Linked DNA regions of Kluyveromyces lactis. The protein of the gene in region 2 purifies or fractionates together with the protein of the main gene of each other region. This does not show direct contact. Links are inferred from orthologs where the notes say so. Each region holds a gene or a part of one and is shown on either strand. Other genes may lie near its edges.

Region 1 (5,146 bases), on a different chromosome or scaffold from region 2:
TTTGGTAGTTTTCCAATCCCAGATGAACGTCTGACCTTTAGAGTCTCCAGATGCAATGTATTGGCCATCAGGAGAAAATGCAAAATGAATACCATAACCTGTAGTATTATGACCTTTGAATGTCTTGTTTGGGTGTCTTTTATACTTTGGTAACATTGAGTACGTATAGATGGTGTTGTCCATACTTTGTGTACAGAAAGACTGACCCTGTGGATTAATATCGATCCATGGCATAGAATGTTGTGCTGTGCCACTGATTTGTTTAATAGGAATATTGATTCGGTTCTCCCAAATTCTGACCGTTTTATCTTCTGACGACGAGATTAACTTCTTACCATCAGGGAAGTACTTTAGTGCCAAAATAGAACCCTGATGATGATCATATTTCTGTACTTCCCCATGGTTTTCTGATAGCCTCAAGTCATAGTGCCGTATTTCGGAGTTGGATAATCCTACCACTAGTTGGTTCTTGTCTTTTGGGTGGAATGTAATACAGTTCGGTACAGAGTTGAAACGCAATCTTTTATCAATTATACCTTTTTCGGTGTTCCAGATCTTAACCCATTTATCAAATGATGCACTGGCAAAAGAATGTCCATTATCTGTAAAGTTCAAATCCTTTATAGTCATAGAGTGACCTTCATACGTTCTTAATAGTTCTCTCTCATGATAAAAGTCCCATAGTTTTATTATGTTGTCGTTACCGCCTGAAAGTAAGAGATGTCCTGTTTTCGGTATGAATCGTAATGATGTAGTACCATTCTTATGCCCATAGTATTCTGCTATCTTGGTTTTCGGAAGGAAGCACCTGAATGATAGTGGTTCTTTCTTGAATTCTAATGGAATATCTACTGGGGGGTGTAAAATGCATCTTCCCAGATAGTCTTTTTCAGTACTGCCTACAAATTTCGTTCTTTCAAGTGATTGTGATGCCACTGCATCCTCATCACCACCTAAATCTAAGGAATTAGAAGCATTTGAATCCTTTGATAATTGTTCGATCTCATCGTCACTAGATCCTTGCCATTTTGCCCATGGTCCTTTCCCGTTCCTCCTAAGTCTTTTGGACTTCAATTCAGCCTTTGATGTTTTTAACGATCTCTTAGGCACAGCTACAGATGAGCCATCATCACTACTCTCACTTTCATAACCCTGTACCAGCCCCATTATTCCCTGGATATTATGGCAGTGGCAGAGTCTATCTAGTAAGTTTATCGGTTTGTCCGTGTATTACCTACAATTTTAGATAATCTTTAGAAAGATGAACCTATTTCATATAATGTGATAATGTGCACTTTTTCTTTTTGTTCACACACAGAATATGACGTACAAATCTGGATAAATAAGGAAATGACTTAAAGTTACAGACCATGCCATGATACAGTCGCATGATTAAGTGAAATGATGTATTTATGCTTTAATCAAATGCTGAATATATACATATAAGATGTGGACGTCTTTGGGTTGATATAAAGTGTCCACAAGTTTGCAAATTAGTGTTTTGTTCTTTTGTTCTTGGCCTTAAGTTTTTCAACTAAACCGCCGATCTTATTTATGTCTTTACTATGTTCAGTATTTGCAATTTCGTGGTTACGCTTTTTGCCCCTAGATTTTTTGCTTGAACGTACTGTACGTTCCTTTAAAATCTTCTCCATAGCTGGTGTCTTCTTGAACTCTGGTTGAGTAGGATCAATCGCGAAATCGTGATCTTCAAAGACCTCTTTAAATCTTGGATCATTAACGTCTGGAGTGAATTCATCATCCACAATCTTCTCCTTGTTTTGATACTTGGCCTTTTTGGATTTTTCCTTCTCAGATTTGAGAATCTCATTCATGTTGAAGTGTGCCTTGTTGTTAATTGTTGATTCACCCTCATTTTCATCTAGCATTAAGAGCTCTAACTCTCCCTTTTTCTTATCGTCATCGATGCTGTGAGAAGTATCTTTCTTCTTCTTAAGGTTCTCCTTTAATTTGGCTTCTGATTCCTTCTTAAGCTCCTTGACTCTGTCCTTTCTCTTCTTACGTCTTTCTTTTTCTTTACGTCTAATCTTATCAATGGTGCTTTCCTCTTCGTTATCATTGGTATCTTGTTGGCCAGACTCATCCAGGCCTGGAGTGAAAGTTATTTCCATATCAGCCTCATTATCGTCTTCATCTTCCTTTTGATCAAATAGTGACTTTTGCCCCACTTTTACGGAATCCATTACTAAAGCCTTGAGTTTATTTTTAACTTGATCATCATGCTCAACTTCAGATTCTTCACTATCGGAGGCTAAATAAGCTTTAAAGTCCATTTCTTCAATTTCTTTTTGAGTGAATGCTCTTTTAGATATTTCCACACGGTCTGCAGGAGTTTCATCCCATGTAAGCTTTACCTTGGAATGCTGAAGGGCATCTGTACTGAATTGTGCCGGCTTGTAATTTTTTGGAAGCGAGGTACATTCATCACGAGGATCATCATCCATTTCCATACCATCAGGCACATACCTTAAATCAAAGACATTGGCTGTAGATTCATATTCTGTGCCATCACAGTTTTGATAGATTGATTCGGCTGTCCTAATGTCGCTGCAGTAAACCACGGCATAATAGTATCTTAGACGTTCCAATTGGTAACGACGAAGTGCTTTAGAATCATAGTCCTCTGCGTCTCCTTCCTCATAAATTGATTCGACATTAATCTCATCATCATCTTTATCATTCTTCTTGGATTTCTTTGACTGGAATAATTCTTTTGGAGGACCTTCGATCTCTTCACGTTGCATCCTTTCTTTACCAAATTCACTTGGATATATGGCAATTTTTTGAATCTCTCCTCCCTTAGGCACGAAAGACTTAAATGTGACAAACAAATCAGCAGATTTGACATGATCCCAATCCAGGTTCACTACAGCCAACGTATTTGTGGCATTTCCACTAGCAGGTTTGGACTCTTCTAGTTCGATTTCTTCTGATTCAATGTCACTGTCCCCAGATTCTTCTTCGGATTCAGAGGAGGACTCTTCATCAGAAGAAGAAACGTAATCAGCAGGAGGTTCACCACGAGCTCTATCAACAGATTTTGCATGAACAGCAGCTTCAGCTTCTTGATCATCGCTGCTTTCGGATGAATTAGACTCATCCTCCTTGTCCTCCGGCTTTTCCTTGGTAAAATAACGATCAAAATCCTTTACATCCTTGTTAGCATCCACAATTTTTCTACCATATTTATCAACTTTTGCTTTACGTCTGACTTCTAGATCTTGTTTACTGAATCTATCATCCAATTTGATCTTAAAGTTCTTGGATTTAGTTGACCTAAACTTAGGATCATTATGAATCCCAGAAAATCTTGGATCTTCAGTGATCTTCTCCTTTTTCTCCCCTTTCGAATTCATCCTTTAGTATACTAATATGACTCTAAATTGTTCACTTAGTTGATTTCGTTGGCACGATACCGAAACTAGATGTGCATAAGGTTTAAAATCTTGAACTTACTGATTAACTAGTAGGTGTCGATGAGATGAGATGAGATGAGGTTGGCATAATTTGAAAAGAAAAAAAAAAAACTCTAAAATCAAAAAGAAAAAAAATAATGTTGGTGAACTTCGGTCACGTGAAAAGAGCCAAATACAGATGTAATCGAGCCGTAAAGAGCAATTACAGGTCGGAAGAACTATATGTTTTCACTTTCATATACCATGTATACAGGCTGGCTCTAGTCTACCTTGTCAGGAATTTCTTGCTCCCAACCATTTTCTTATATGTTAACATTTTGTTTCTTTGTGTTAGTACGTAGTCTCCTCTTTTTACATTAAGGTATATTTAAGGATTTACTCTTACACATACTCTGAAAAGGTGCTAAGAAGGAAAGCCATAAGGATAACTGTCACAATAATGTATGCAAAATGGGCCAATCAACTTCTAAAGAGCATGAAAATGCTAGGACAAATGAATCTAAACTAAAAGGAGAATCTTTAATGGATTTTTTCAATGACAGATGCTTAAAACAATTAACTACTGCTGAACTAATTTCGTTCAAGAACAATATTCCTGAGGGCAAAGAACTAAACGATTATGTCGAGGTTTCAGATATTAGCAGAATGTATTATATCCCGAAAGATAGTGCTGTAATGTTATCGGTATTTATGAATATGTTTCATACTCTAGCGAACTTTCCACTTCTACAAGATTCCTACGAAAAGGTTACTTTCAAAACCTTGTTAAAGGCCACGCTATTACTAGTCAAGGAAAGAGCCATCAAGTACACCGATTGGAAAAAGTACAATGATTTGAAAATGCTATTTATTACGCTCTCTTTGGAAAAGAATATCAAAGCTGAACCTCTCATGGACTCTTCGGCTCTATCTGATTGTAAGGATTGGAAAGGGGTCATTAGATCTTATAACGGAACTGATTTTGATGAATTGAAAGTAAATGCAAATAATCTTCTTCACTTTTTGGCATTGATATTGGCTCTTTCTCGCTGCTGCATTTTGAACAATTGTAAAATTGACAATGATGTTTTGGCGAAGAGCTTAGAGGACTTCAAACATCAAGCTCTTAATATTGTACGCACAATGAACCCCGAGATTATATCAATGTCAGACTGTTTGGATTCATCAATCACATATACCCAATTTTCCATGGCCGTTAATGATGTTGCCCCTAATCTTTTAAATCCCTTGAAAATGCTAATGGAACATGTTCTTTATATGGATAGAGATCTCGTAGACGCGGACGTTCTTCAACCAATCTCAAATCCTACTAAAATTGTAAATGAATCTGAGCTATCGCAGTTAGCAACTTTTTTACCGAAGGAGATTGTTTTCTCCAGGTTCCAGAAATTATATGTTGGAAGGGAATCGGGCTTTTCTATGAGATCTTTCCAATCTAAGGTCTTCAAGTGGATGGCACCTACGATATTATTCGTAGAGGGTATGAGAATTCGTGACGAGGACGATGAAGATGGCGATGCTTATGCCGTGAAAAATCCAAGGTATAGAAACTTTCTGCAAGAATATGGTAAGTTAAAAAGTGAAGATCAACATTTGGATACGTTAAGTAAGAAAAAACGAAAATTGTTATTTGCTGTTTGTATTCGCGACCCATGGAAAGTATCAAATAAAGATTTGTTTGGTGATTCGTCTACAAAAATTATCCAACT
Region 2 (4,968 bases):
TTATAATTGTGATTATCAGTATTACTATTTACTTTACTACTGGCGTTAGAACCCACCCCTTATTCGTTTTACACATTTTCTTTCAGATTTTGTAATGAAGTTAGTTAATTTTTGTAATGAGGTTTAAAGAACTCAATCTTTTTCTGCATCCACTCTATCCTTAATCGATTCATTATACTAAATTGAATAGTGTTCTGAAAGTTATACTTTATTTCAACATCTATTTATGAGTTTGTATTTAAACTGACTCGAAAATGGTTGGTTTAAGTAAACAAAGCAATCCAATGAGACGACTAAGGATTAAAGAATCGACTTTTGAATCTTTTCGTTGTGTATTTGCTCTATACATATACGATCGTAATAAAATTTTTTTGGCACGAAGCGCGAAGAATGTTAATAGTTTAATAATGTTTTAAAGTTACTTGTATCGGTAAAAAGTGGACGTCAAGTCATCATGAAATCGTGAGAGAAAAAAAAAAGAAGTATCGTTGAAATATAAAATCATAGTTCAGATGTGAATCGTTTATTAATCACGTTCTATTCACTGTGTGTAGTTTATAGAACACATATTTCTCCCTTGAGAAGGGAAATAAAATTGAAGATACCCCATACATGAAATTCATGATATATTTTCCTCGTTCATATAATTGATTTATAGGTTTTGGGATATCGTTTAAATAGCTTCTCTTAGAACTTGGTTCAACTTGTTGATTCTGGAAGCAATTGACAAATCGACGGTTCTGTCGGAAACTTCAACGATTAAACCACCTTGGATTTCAGGCTTGACAACGTTCTCCAATTTCAAAGACTTACCCTTACCAACCAAAGAGGAAGCAGCCAAGGCCTTTTCCACTCTCTTGAACAACTTAGAGTCCAAAGGTTGAGCAGTGGTAACAGTCGCTTGCACAAGACCATGGTAAGCATCAGTCAACTTGGAGAATTGGGAAGTGACATGTTCTAACAAGGATAATCTGTTGTTTTCAGCCAAAACCTTCAACAAGTTTTGAACGGATTGATCCAAATTGATTTTCTTGGACAAAGTGTCAACAACAATGTTTCTATCTTCAGCAGACAAGGCTGGGTTTTCCAAAATGCTGGTCAACTTGGTGTCCTTGGCAACAGTTTCCTTCAAAGCATTCAATGAGGAAGCAGCAGCTTCAACGGAAGTGGTCTTTGAGGCAGCAGTGAACAATGCAGTGGCATAGGTACCATCCAAACCGAACAATTGCACTGGAGGCTTAACACCAGCCTTGGCAGAAGCTGCCATAGAACGAACAAATACTCTGGAAAACATGACTCTGTATATAGTGGTCTCTTTGATTCAATAATTCAATGATTTTATGGTTATTCAAACAATTGGAAGAAAACTTGCTCAATAGATTAAATGAAGTTTAAAGCTTAAGATAAGGTTTGGTACAATGGCAATAACAAAACACACACCTAATCGGAAAAGAGAGACTTGTCTTAATCTGATCAATGCAGAATCACTAACAAAATAGCAAATACACTTAAAAAATACAAATAAGCTAACGTAGAACGAAAGCTTCTTTTCCTGTAAATTACAAATTTATTTCTTAAAGGTGTGGAAATATTGAAAGTTCAATAAATTTTCAATTTTTTTTCCTTCCTTTACCTATATTTTTTCAAAACTTTCTCTGTTTTTGATCGGATCCTCCCTCCTATGTGTTCTTCTTTGTCTCTGTTTCGTTTCTGCTCTTGTGTTCTTGTTCCGGCCAAAGAGGTCCAAAAAAAAAAAAAAAAAACACGATCTAAGTTCCTCAGTAGTCGTAGGAAACGATGACGTGTTTTCATTGGTTGCGAGTCACGTGGAAATTAAACACTATGCTTTCACTTTTAATAGATATATTTGACCTTAATAGACGCTATGAGGCTTCTTAAAAGTAATTTGTATTGGATATTTGGTGCATCGAGAGTTTGAGACTAAGAATCGCTATCTTACAATCACGTGATTTAATAATAGCACGTGATCTATATATTTTCCTCTTCTTTTTGAAGATCCGAAAAGGTAATCTGGAGTTTCTTTTTTGTAGTTGAAAAATTCAAGAAAGTTGATGTTTGAGAGATGAGACGAGATGAGATGAGATGAGAGACTCTTATATGGATAAATCAGCTGTACTCAATAGTGAGTTGTAAGTGAGGACGGTGAAGTACACGTAAAATACACGCAGATTAAATGGGTAAAAAGTCTTTGGCCGAACAAATCGCAGACATTGCGAATAAACCACAAGTTGAAGATTTCGACATTGAGAATGATGAAGGTGTATTTCAACATGGTGGGTCCGATTCAGATGTTAGTTCTGGCGATGAGAGCGAAGAAGAGTTGAAGAAACAGCATTATGTGGCAGTAGGAAAGTCAAAACTTAGAAATGTGGTCGATCAAGGATTGGCCGTAAAGGATAAGAAATACGTCGGGAGCAAAGGGTCTAGAGCAGAACTGTTCAATGACGAAGAAATGGACGCTCCTGAACAAGGAGAAAGTGAGTCTGAAGCTGAATCCGGATCTGAAGAGAGTGATGCAGTATCCTTTAGAAGCGATTCAGAAGATGTATCCGAATCTGAAGCCACTTCCGAGTCAGAAATAGAGAAAGATAGAGAGGAAGATGAGGAGACTGCGATGAAGAAAGAGAAATTGGCCAAGATAGTACAGACGCAAACTAAACAAGTGATTAATAATTTAGCACATTCCGCTCAGAGAGATGCTTCCAAAGGTTATGCCATCTTACAACAGAATAAATTCTTCGATAAAATTCTAGACTCTAGAATTAAGTTGCAAAAAGCATTATCCGCTTCAAACCAGTTACCACTTTCTCAACAATCTTGGGATGAACTTCTAGATGAAAATAACTCCAAATTGCTAACTAGTACTTTCAAAGTTTTAGAGAAAGTTTTGACCCAGTGTGTTACAGTAAGGCATAAATTCCAAATCGGTGATCACATAAACCAATCTGAGAACCCTTCTGACTTCGATAACAGCAAAAAGAGAAGTTTTAAGGAACTAGTACATGAAACTGTAACATTGGATTCTGATTTAAAATCATACCGTTCTGCCGTACTTAACAAATGGTCAGCAAAAGTTTCTGCATCATCAGGAAAATCTCTTCTGCAAGCCTCCAAGTTTAAAGCGATCAACCAGTCAGCTGATGTACAAGTGGATAACCAACTTGCTGATATGCCAAGATTACTTAAAAGGACAAAACTCAATAGAAGCAATACTAAACCTTTGTTGTTTGATGAAGATTTACAAAAAGGTCTACTAAAAGAATTGCAACTGGAGGAAAACGTAGAAGGAGACATCGAAGAAGAAAATAATTTGGATATTCCAAAGAATTACGATCCAAGAAGGAAGGATAACAATGCATTAGATTTTACCCAAAACCCATATATCTATGATGACGAAGATTTTTACAGAGTTTTGTTGAATGATCTTGTTGAGAAAAAAATATCTAACTCTCAACAATCCAATGGTGTTACTTTGGCCATCACTTCTCGCTCTGAAAACAAGCTCAAGAAAAACATCGACACCAAGGCTTCAAAGGGTCGTAAACTAAATTACTCTATTCAAGAACCAATTGCCAATTATGAAGCATCAGTTAATACTGGGTATAAATGGTCGGATGAGCAAATTGATGAATTCTTTGCTGGTTTATTAGGTCAAAAGATCAACTTCAATGAAGACGATGAATTGGAAGCTGACACGATGCACAACGAGGAAGACGAAGAGATCAAAAATGACGATATTCAAATTTTCGGATAATTTGGAGTTCGACCTTCAACTTGTATTTATTTTTCATCTATTGTTTATTATTATAATTAAAATATGTACACGGCATTCAAAATGTCCAACAAACTGACATCGACAAATCAAACATCGATAATATTGCTCATGTTACTTGCCATACTCTCTAAGTCAACCTCATTTTCTTCTTTTTCTCTTCTATGGCATTCTTCCACTATGTTTTCCCAATTGGAATTGAAAACACAATAGCTCAAAGCAAACGCCAGTAATAAGATCCCGGTACCGCATCCGTACCAAAGCCCTTTTAATCCCAACTGAAATTTACCAAAAGTTAGCCATCCACTTAAAGGCAATGCGATAAAATAGTATGCTATGATATTTAACAGGCTGCCAACTTGCTGCCGTCCTTGTGCACGTAATATCGCAGCGCTAAAAGTTGTGAATGCATCATATAATTGGTTAACTGCCAAAATTGGAGCGACATGACGATATAACTCAACGACCTCTTTGTCTTTAGTGAACAAATACGCTAAATTCTTGTCACCTGTTAAAATCAAACAACAATTCGCAATCCCTACAAACGCTGCTATCACGTACGACGTATTAATACAGATCTTCGCGTTGTTGACCGATTCTGTCCCAACATAATTAGCAACCCTTGTGGAAACTACGCAACCCATTGCGAATGGGATTTGATATATCAAAGATCCTATGTTCGATACGACTGATTGTGCTGCTATAGCCTTGACACCGAGATATGTAGACATAATAGTCAATACTTCGAAAGAAAGGTACTCTGCTTCAATCATGAGTAAACCAGGAAATGCCAAATTCCACATAGGTTTCCAGCTGCAAAATAATCTTTTAAAGTGGAACATTGAAGAGAACATGGGATACCAACAAATCAGAGTTTCCTTTCTCCAAAATTTGCAATAAACCAGTAGCATTAAGGCCATAAACCAGTGCGATATGGCGATACCTAGAGGAGCACCAGCATATCCAATGTAACGAGTAAATGAATACACTAGAATAATATTAACTGGAACTGTAATCAACAAGGAGTATGTTCCTGCTTGGAAATGGCCCTGTGATTGAAGGAATCTCTTACCAGTTTCGAAAAAAATCAGCCCTGGCAACCCAAACGATATTATTCTCAAGAAAAGTTGTATCTCTGGGAGGATATCCTGTTCAGCAATCACATAACCTAACCA
Region 3 (5,475 bases), about 540 kb from region 2:
TAAACGACTCTGTCTTGGCCTCATCTAAATCTAATAGCTCCTTTAACCTTGGCAAAGTAATTTTTGTATAGTATTTGGAAATGACACGCAAGTTGTGCTCTATGATTCTCTTATGAAGATCTTCCCAGTGTGATTCATTAGACCCGAATGCAACGCCGTCCTGGTTCAAAATTTCTTTGTAGGTATCTTGTACTATTGGCCATCTCATTAGTTCTGCTGTGGTGAAGAGTTTTACCAAGGATTCTTGGGATGGCAATTTCTTTAGATTGTTGTCCAACTGAACCTTGTGAATGAGATCATTTTGTAGGTTATCATATGGCGATAGAATCAAGAAGTATACAACCCTGGATAGAGCTGCCTTCCATTGAATTTCATCTGCCTTCACAGAATCAGAGTTGTAGATTTCTTGGTAGTACTGAGCCACTTCTAAGTAATCTTTCTTATGCAAGCCAATCTTTACCAAAAGGTTATAATACTCTAATTTCAATGCTGCATACTTTTCATTCTTGAAAGTCTTCTTTAATATTTTTCTGGACAACACAGTGGCTTGAGAGTAATCACCTTTTAGGATACTTAATTCCATTTGTTCAAGGATAAATTCAATCTTTTCATACATCTCCATGGACCCATACGTTTCCACTTGCAATTCACATAACAAGTCAGTGGCCTCATCGATCTTGTTCTCAGATCTTCTGATATGAACCAAATCTCTAGTGACTCTAGCTCTTTCAACTTCCACGAAAATCTTGTTCTCAGTCACGGTTCTTATCGTCTCAATAGTTTTAATCTTGGTGTCCAAATCCTTCAGGTCTTCCAAATATTTCATCACAGACTGAATCATATACTGCACAGATAACTTCAATTGACCATGCTTTTTTGATAGAAGCATGATTTGGTCGTTAAGTAGGTCCCATTGGTCTGCTGCGACCAAAACATCTACGATCTTAGTCAAGACTCTTTTCGAAGATGCTAAATCAGAAGATTGTCTAGTCTTCTTTTCCAACACTAACAATTGATCCAAAGCACTGGAATAATCATTCTTGGCCAAAATCTCAAGCTTAGGAAATTCAGCGTCCAAGATTTCGGTATAATCTTTCTCTGCCTTAATTGGAGCGTCTCTGGACATATTTTACGATATAATTTATACTCTTTTCTCTTTGCTCTGCCTGCTCAACTTAAACCGAAATGCAATACAATCAATTTCTCTGTATCCGTCCTGTATTCAAACCACACAAACTTACAGTCTCAGAACCGACACTGTAACCTGCTGTACCTCTGTTCGCGGTTATTTCGTATATATTTGCCACCTGTAACTGATTTCCTTTATTTCTCATAATGCCTTTAAAATGACAAGCTACGGTAAAAGCTTCCTCAGTAACAGTAACAATCGAATCTTAGAAAAACGTGACTTCATCATCGTTCGTAATGATTGTGCTGGATATTCGGGTAACCTTGATTTGATTTTATTGTGCGGGTAACTATTTTCTTTCTTTTCGGTGAAAAAGCATTAAAAGTTTGACAGAAGATGAATTGAGCGATGAGATGAGATGAGATGGGATTAAATCAAAGGCTGTCAGAAGGTTCAGTATCTTGGCCGATTGTATTGAATTGACTTGCATCATCAGTTGTGTTTAGACCATTCTTCTTGTCTGTGGGCAAATAGGTTACAAAGTCGAATAATAATGGGTGGTTCACAGTTGAAGAACTTGAAGGCCGCTTTAAAGGCTAATGGGTTGACTGGTCAGACCAATGTCAAGAAGAGTTCTAAGAAGAAGGGCAAATCTCCCAGGGAGTTTGATAGAGAAGAAAGACAGAAGACTATTGAAAGAATTAGGGAACAGTTTAATCCGTTTGATGTGAAAACAAATCGTAATAAAAAGGTTGGTGTGATGAGGGAATCTGCAGCTAAACTTGCAGTAGGTAAGCCGGGAATCACTAAACAAGCCGGTGAAGATCAACGTAAAATGTTCTACGAAGCCAAGAAGTCCAGCAAGAACAGAAGCGGTGGTGTCTTAGATAAACGTTTTGGTGAAAAGGATAAGAATTTGACTTCCGAGGAGATCATGTTGGAACGTTTCACAAAGGAAAGACAACGTCAATCTTCGACGAAAAGATCGTTATTCAATTTAGACGATAGCGATGGTGGTGAGGATGAAAACGTGTACGGTGAAAAGTTGACTCATTATGGTAAGTCTCTTTCCTTGGAAGATGATTTCGATGAAGGTGATTTGGGGTTACAGCATTCTGATTCGGAGGACTTCAGGTTGAAACAAGCTGGTAAAAGAAATATGGCGGATCAATACGGAGATGAAGGGTTAGGTGATGACGCTTTGCAAGAGCCAGCAAGAAAGAAGACTAAGGCAGAAGTCATGCAAGAGGTCATTGCTAAATCCAAATTTTACAAACATGAAAGACAAAAGGCGCAGGAGAAATTGGTCCAAGATATCGAAGGCCTTGATGACGATTTCGAAAGCATTATGTCTGAATTAAGGACGTTACCAAAGACTAAACCTTCTCAAACTGAGATTTCGACCTCCACAGACATCGCTCCAGATTATGATATCAAGGTGAAAGAGTTAGTCTTGGAGAAAAGAGCTGCCCCTGCAGATAGAACTAAAACAGATGAAGAGATTAAGAAAGAATATGAGGACAAACAAAAGGAATTGGAGCAGAAAAGGCTTGATCGTATGAACGGTATTTTCAACATTGAAGATCAAAAAGATGCTGGTGTTGAAGATTTGGGAGAAGAGTTTTGGGAAGATAGCGACTCTGAGGAGGGCGAATATGGTGAATATATCAAAGCAATTCCTGACTCGGATGACGACGTTGATTTCGAGAAGGATAACAATGATGACAATGAATACGACGCTACATCAAATGGTAGACCTTCAGCAAGAGTTATACCTTCTGTTCCATGTCCTCAAATTCACGATGACTTACTAAATTTCTTGAAATCTTATCCTATCGAAGAGCATCCATCTTTAGTTAAAAGAATAGTAAAAACATACCAACCAAAATTGGCTGAGGGAAACAAAGAAAAATTGGGCAAATTCACTGCTGTTTTGCTCAGACATATACTTTTCTTGGCTGAAGAAGATTACTCGGTTAATGTGAAAGAAATTGCATCATTACAAAACGAACTAGTAAGCATTCTAAAGACTCTTTCAGAAAAGTTTACCATTCCACTATCAGAGGATTGTAGAAATATCATCTCAGATATTCAGACTAGATTCAAAGAATCCCAGTTCTATGGACTATCTCCATCAGATTTGGTATTTTTCTCTGTTGTTGGTATGTTGTTCTCCACTTCGGATCACTATCATTTAGTCATTACTCCCTGTCTGCTTCTAATTGCAGAGTTTTTGGAACAAATTAGGTTCAATTCTCTTCAAAAATTAATATTTGGTTCGATACTGGTTAGAATCGCCATCCAGTATCAACGTATAAGCAAGCGTTATATTCCTGAGTTAACATACTTCTTGCAGACATCTTTGCGTTCTCTAATACCGAGTACCAAAGGGGAAACATTAGAAAACAAAGAAAAACAGGAGGACAATTTATCAATAGTAGGCTCGGATATTAACTGGTCCAAGGTCGCCCCTTCTTTAGAATTACACTCATTATTTTCCGAGGATCTAGAAAAGCAAGAATCTATCAAACTGTCCGTGCTGGTCAACAATCTAGAATCAATTGATTGGTGCATAACGAACATCTGGAAAGATCTTACTGCCTTCCCAGAAATCATTAATCCCTTCAAAGACATACTAAACGTGGCTGCCGAAGTATATCCTGGTACTTCTAAACCAAAACAATTAGTGGAAAAGATCGAAAAGCTATTGAAATTCCAAGAACGTCTGCCATTGACGTTGCAACAGCATAAACCACTGGCGATTCCATCAAATACGCCTAAATTCGAAGAGAACTTCAACCCAGATAAGAAGTCGTATGATCCAGATAAGACCAGAAGTGAGTTGAACAAGATGAAGGCGCAATTGAAGAAGGAACGTAAGTTCACTATGAAAGAAATACGTAAAGACACTAGATTCGAGGCAAGACAAGGCATTGAAGAAAAGAAGAAGGAGTACGCCGATTACCATTCCAAGATGGCACGTATTGTCAATCAAATCAGTACTGAAGAAGGTGCTGAGAAAAACAAATATGAGCGTGAAAAGAAGCTCCGTAATACCAAACGTTAACTGCATATTATATAATCTATACTCAACATTAATAAACTTTATCATCGATTGCGATCTGATTTTTTGTAATATTGGTTTAATAGGCCCATAACACCATTTCCCGCCTTCAGTTCGTCAGCATTATCAGCAATATCATCCTTAAAAAGGGTAGATTTGTTGATAAGTGAACCACTCAATGAGCCTAATTCAAGGTCCGAACTACGATCCGGGAATCTCTTCACCCTTGATCGATTAAGATTTCTCTTACGATTGGAGTTTTTACCTAAGGCAAATTGTGTCTTCCAGGAATAGTCTTTAGTAGAGCTGTATGGGTGATAAGATGGCTCGATTGGAGAAGCTGGTAGCTGATTTTTGCCCACTGCATTGCCTGCATTCTTGTAATCGTCAACGAAGTACATATATGACTGAAGCATTTTGTTAACACCCTCATCCGATTCGGTTTCACTATCATCCTGTTCTGCTTGGGAAAACATTCTCTTAGTTTGTTTTTTGGCCTTGGTACCTTTGTCAATTTTAGTAGCTTCAAACATTGCGTACTTACACACGTATCCCAACCCCTCCTCATAGACGGTACATTCTCTAAAAAAATCTATTATTCTTTCTGAATTCTTTGGCAGGGAGAACCATAATATGAAGGGAGTGATTATAATGCTGACTAGTTCCCTTAGTAATAATGTGATTCTCAAGTTGTAAAGCCTACAAAACTCATTTTTGATGTCCTCTGTATGATATTTCCCCTTCCATTCCTTTGGAGCGTAGTGTGTATACGACACAAGTTCCTCCAGTGTTTCCTCTGGTTTGAGAACCGTATACTCATCGTTGATAGAACTGTGACAAACTGCCCATAAAGTACCAAAAACAGTCATGTAAAATAAAACAGTTCTGTCAGGTGTAATTTCGAAGTTTAAGAAATTGTCTGGATCAAATATTGTCAGAATACCCAAGATTGCCACAAAAGAACCGGAAACAAACTGTATAAAGCTTAAGGTCAAGCTTAATAATGTATTGGGAAATTGATTGACATAATTGTCCGCTATTATCATGCTCAATCTCATTCTTTTTTGGAAAATATGATATAATTCATTGTATTCCCTAAATTTCCATTCAGCAATAGGAGTATATTGCCGAGAACCTATTGATCCTGGGGAGGTTTTGTACTCATTAAAATATCTGAAGAAGTTCAATAGAACAAAGTATGTTACTAAGAATGGGGATAAGATAATGTTCAAGAATCCAGCAAGAACAAACCTCTTCTTTAACTCCTCTCCCAGGTATTCTC

What was found. Proteins that work in one complex are often made in the same cells at the same time.
Region 1: the proteins of BFR2 (region 2) and ESF1 purify together in Saccharomyces cerevisiae (affinity purification with mass spectrometry; 3 studies listed by BioGRID). This does not show direct contact. The link is inferred for Kluyveromyces lactis from reciprocal best matches to the Saccharomyces cerevisiae genes BFR2 and ESF1.
Region 3: the proteins of BFR2 (region 2) and NOP14 purify together in Saccharomyces cerevisiae (affinity purification with mass spectrometry; 3 studies listed by BioGRID). This does not show direct contact. The link is inferred for Kluyveromyces lactis from reciprocal best matches to the Saccharomyces cerevisiae genes BFR2 and NOP14.

What each region holds. Positions count from the first base shown.
Region 1 is NC_006041.1:1,888,545-1,893,690, reverse strand, and holds ESF1 (pre-rRNA-processing protein ESF1), read right to left. Parts: upstream 3,378-5,146; coding exon 1,494-3,377; downstream 1-1,493. Other genes in the region: CDC40 (Cdc40p), read right to left, coding at 1-1,167; RTC5 (Rtc5p), read left to right, coding at 3,888-5,146. UniProt on the Saccharomyces cerevisiae protein: Involved in the 18S rRNA synthesis. Required for the early cleavages at sites A0, A1 and A2.
Region 2 is NC_006039.1:886,930-891,897, reverse strand, and holds BFR2 (rRNA-processing protein BFR2), read left to right. Parts: upstream 1-2,194; coding exon 2,195-3,775; downstream 3,776-4,968. Other genes in the region: ATP5 (F1F0 ATP synthase subunit 5), read right to left, coding at 674-1,294; ERC1 (Erc1p), read right to left, coding at 3,883-4,968. UniProt on the Saccharomyces cerevisiae protein: Involved in endoplasmic reticulum to Golgi transport. Involved in a protein-transport step blocked by brefeldin A, which disrupts the Golgi apparatus and its incoming protein flux. May also be involved for mass growth or cell proliferation.
Region 3 is NC_006039.1:1,426,069-1,431,543, forward strand, and holds NOP14 (snoRNA-binding rRNA-processing protein NOP14), read left to right. Parts: upstream 1-1,682; coding exon 1,683-4,196; downstream 4,197-5,475. Other genes in the region: proteasome regulatory particle lid subunit RPN5, read right to left, coding at 1-1,126; autophagy protein ATG9, read right to left, coding at 4,238-5,475. UniProt on the Saccharomyces cerevisiae protein: Involved in nucleolar processing of pre-18S ribosomal RNA. Has a role in the nuclear export of 40S pre-ribosomal subunit to the cytoplasm.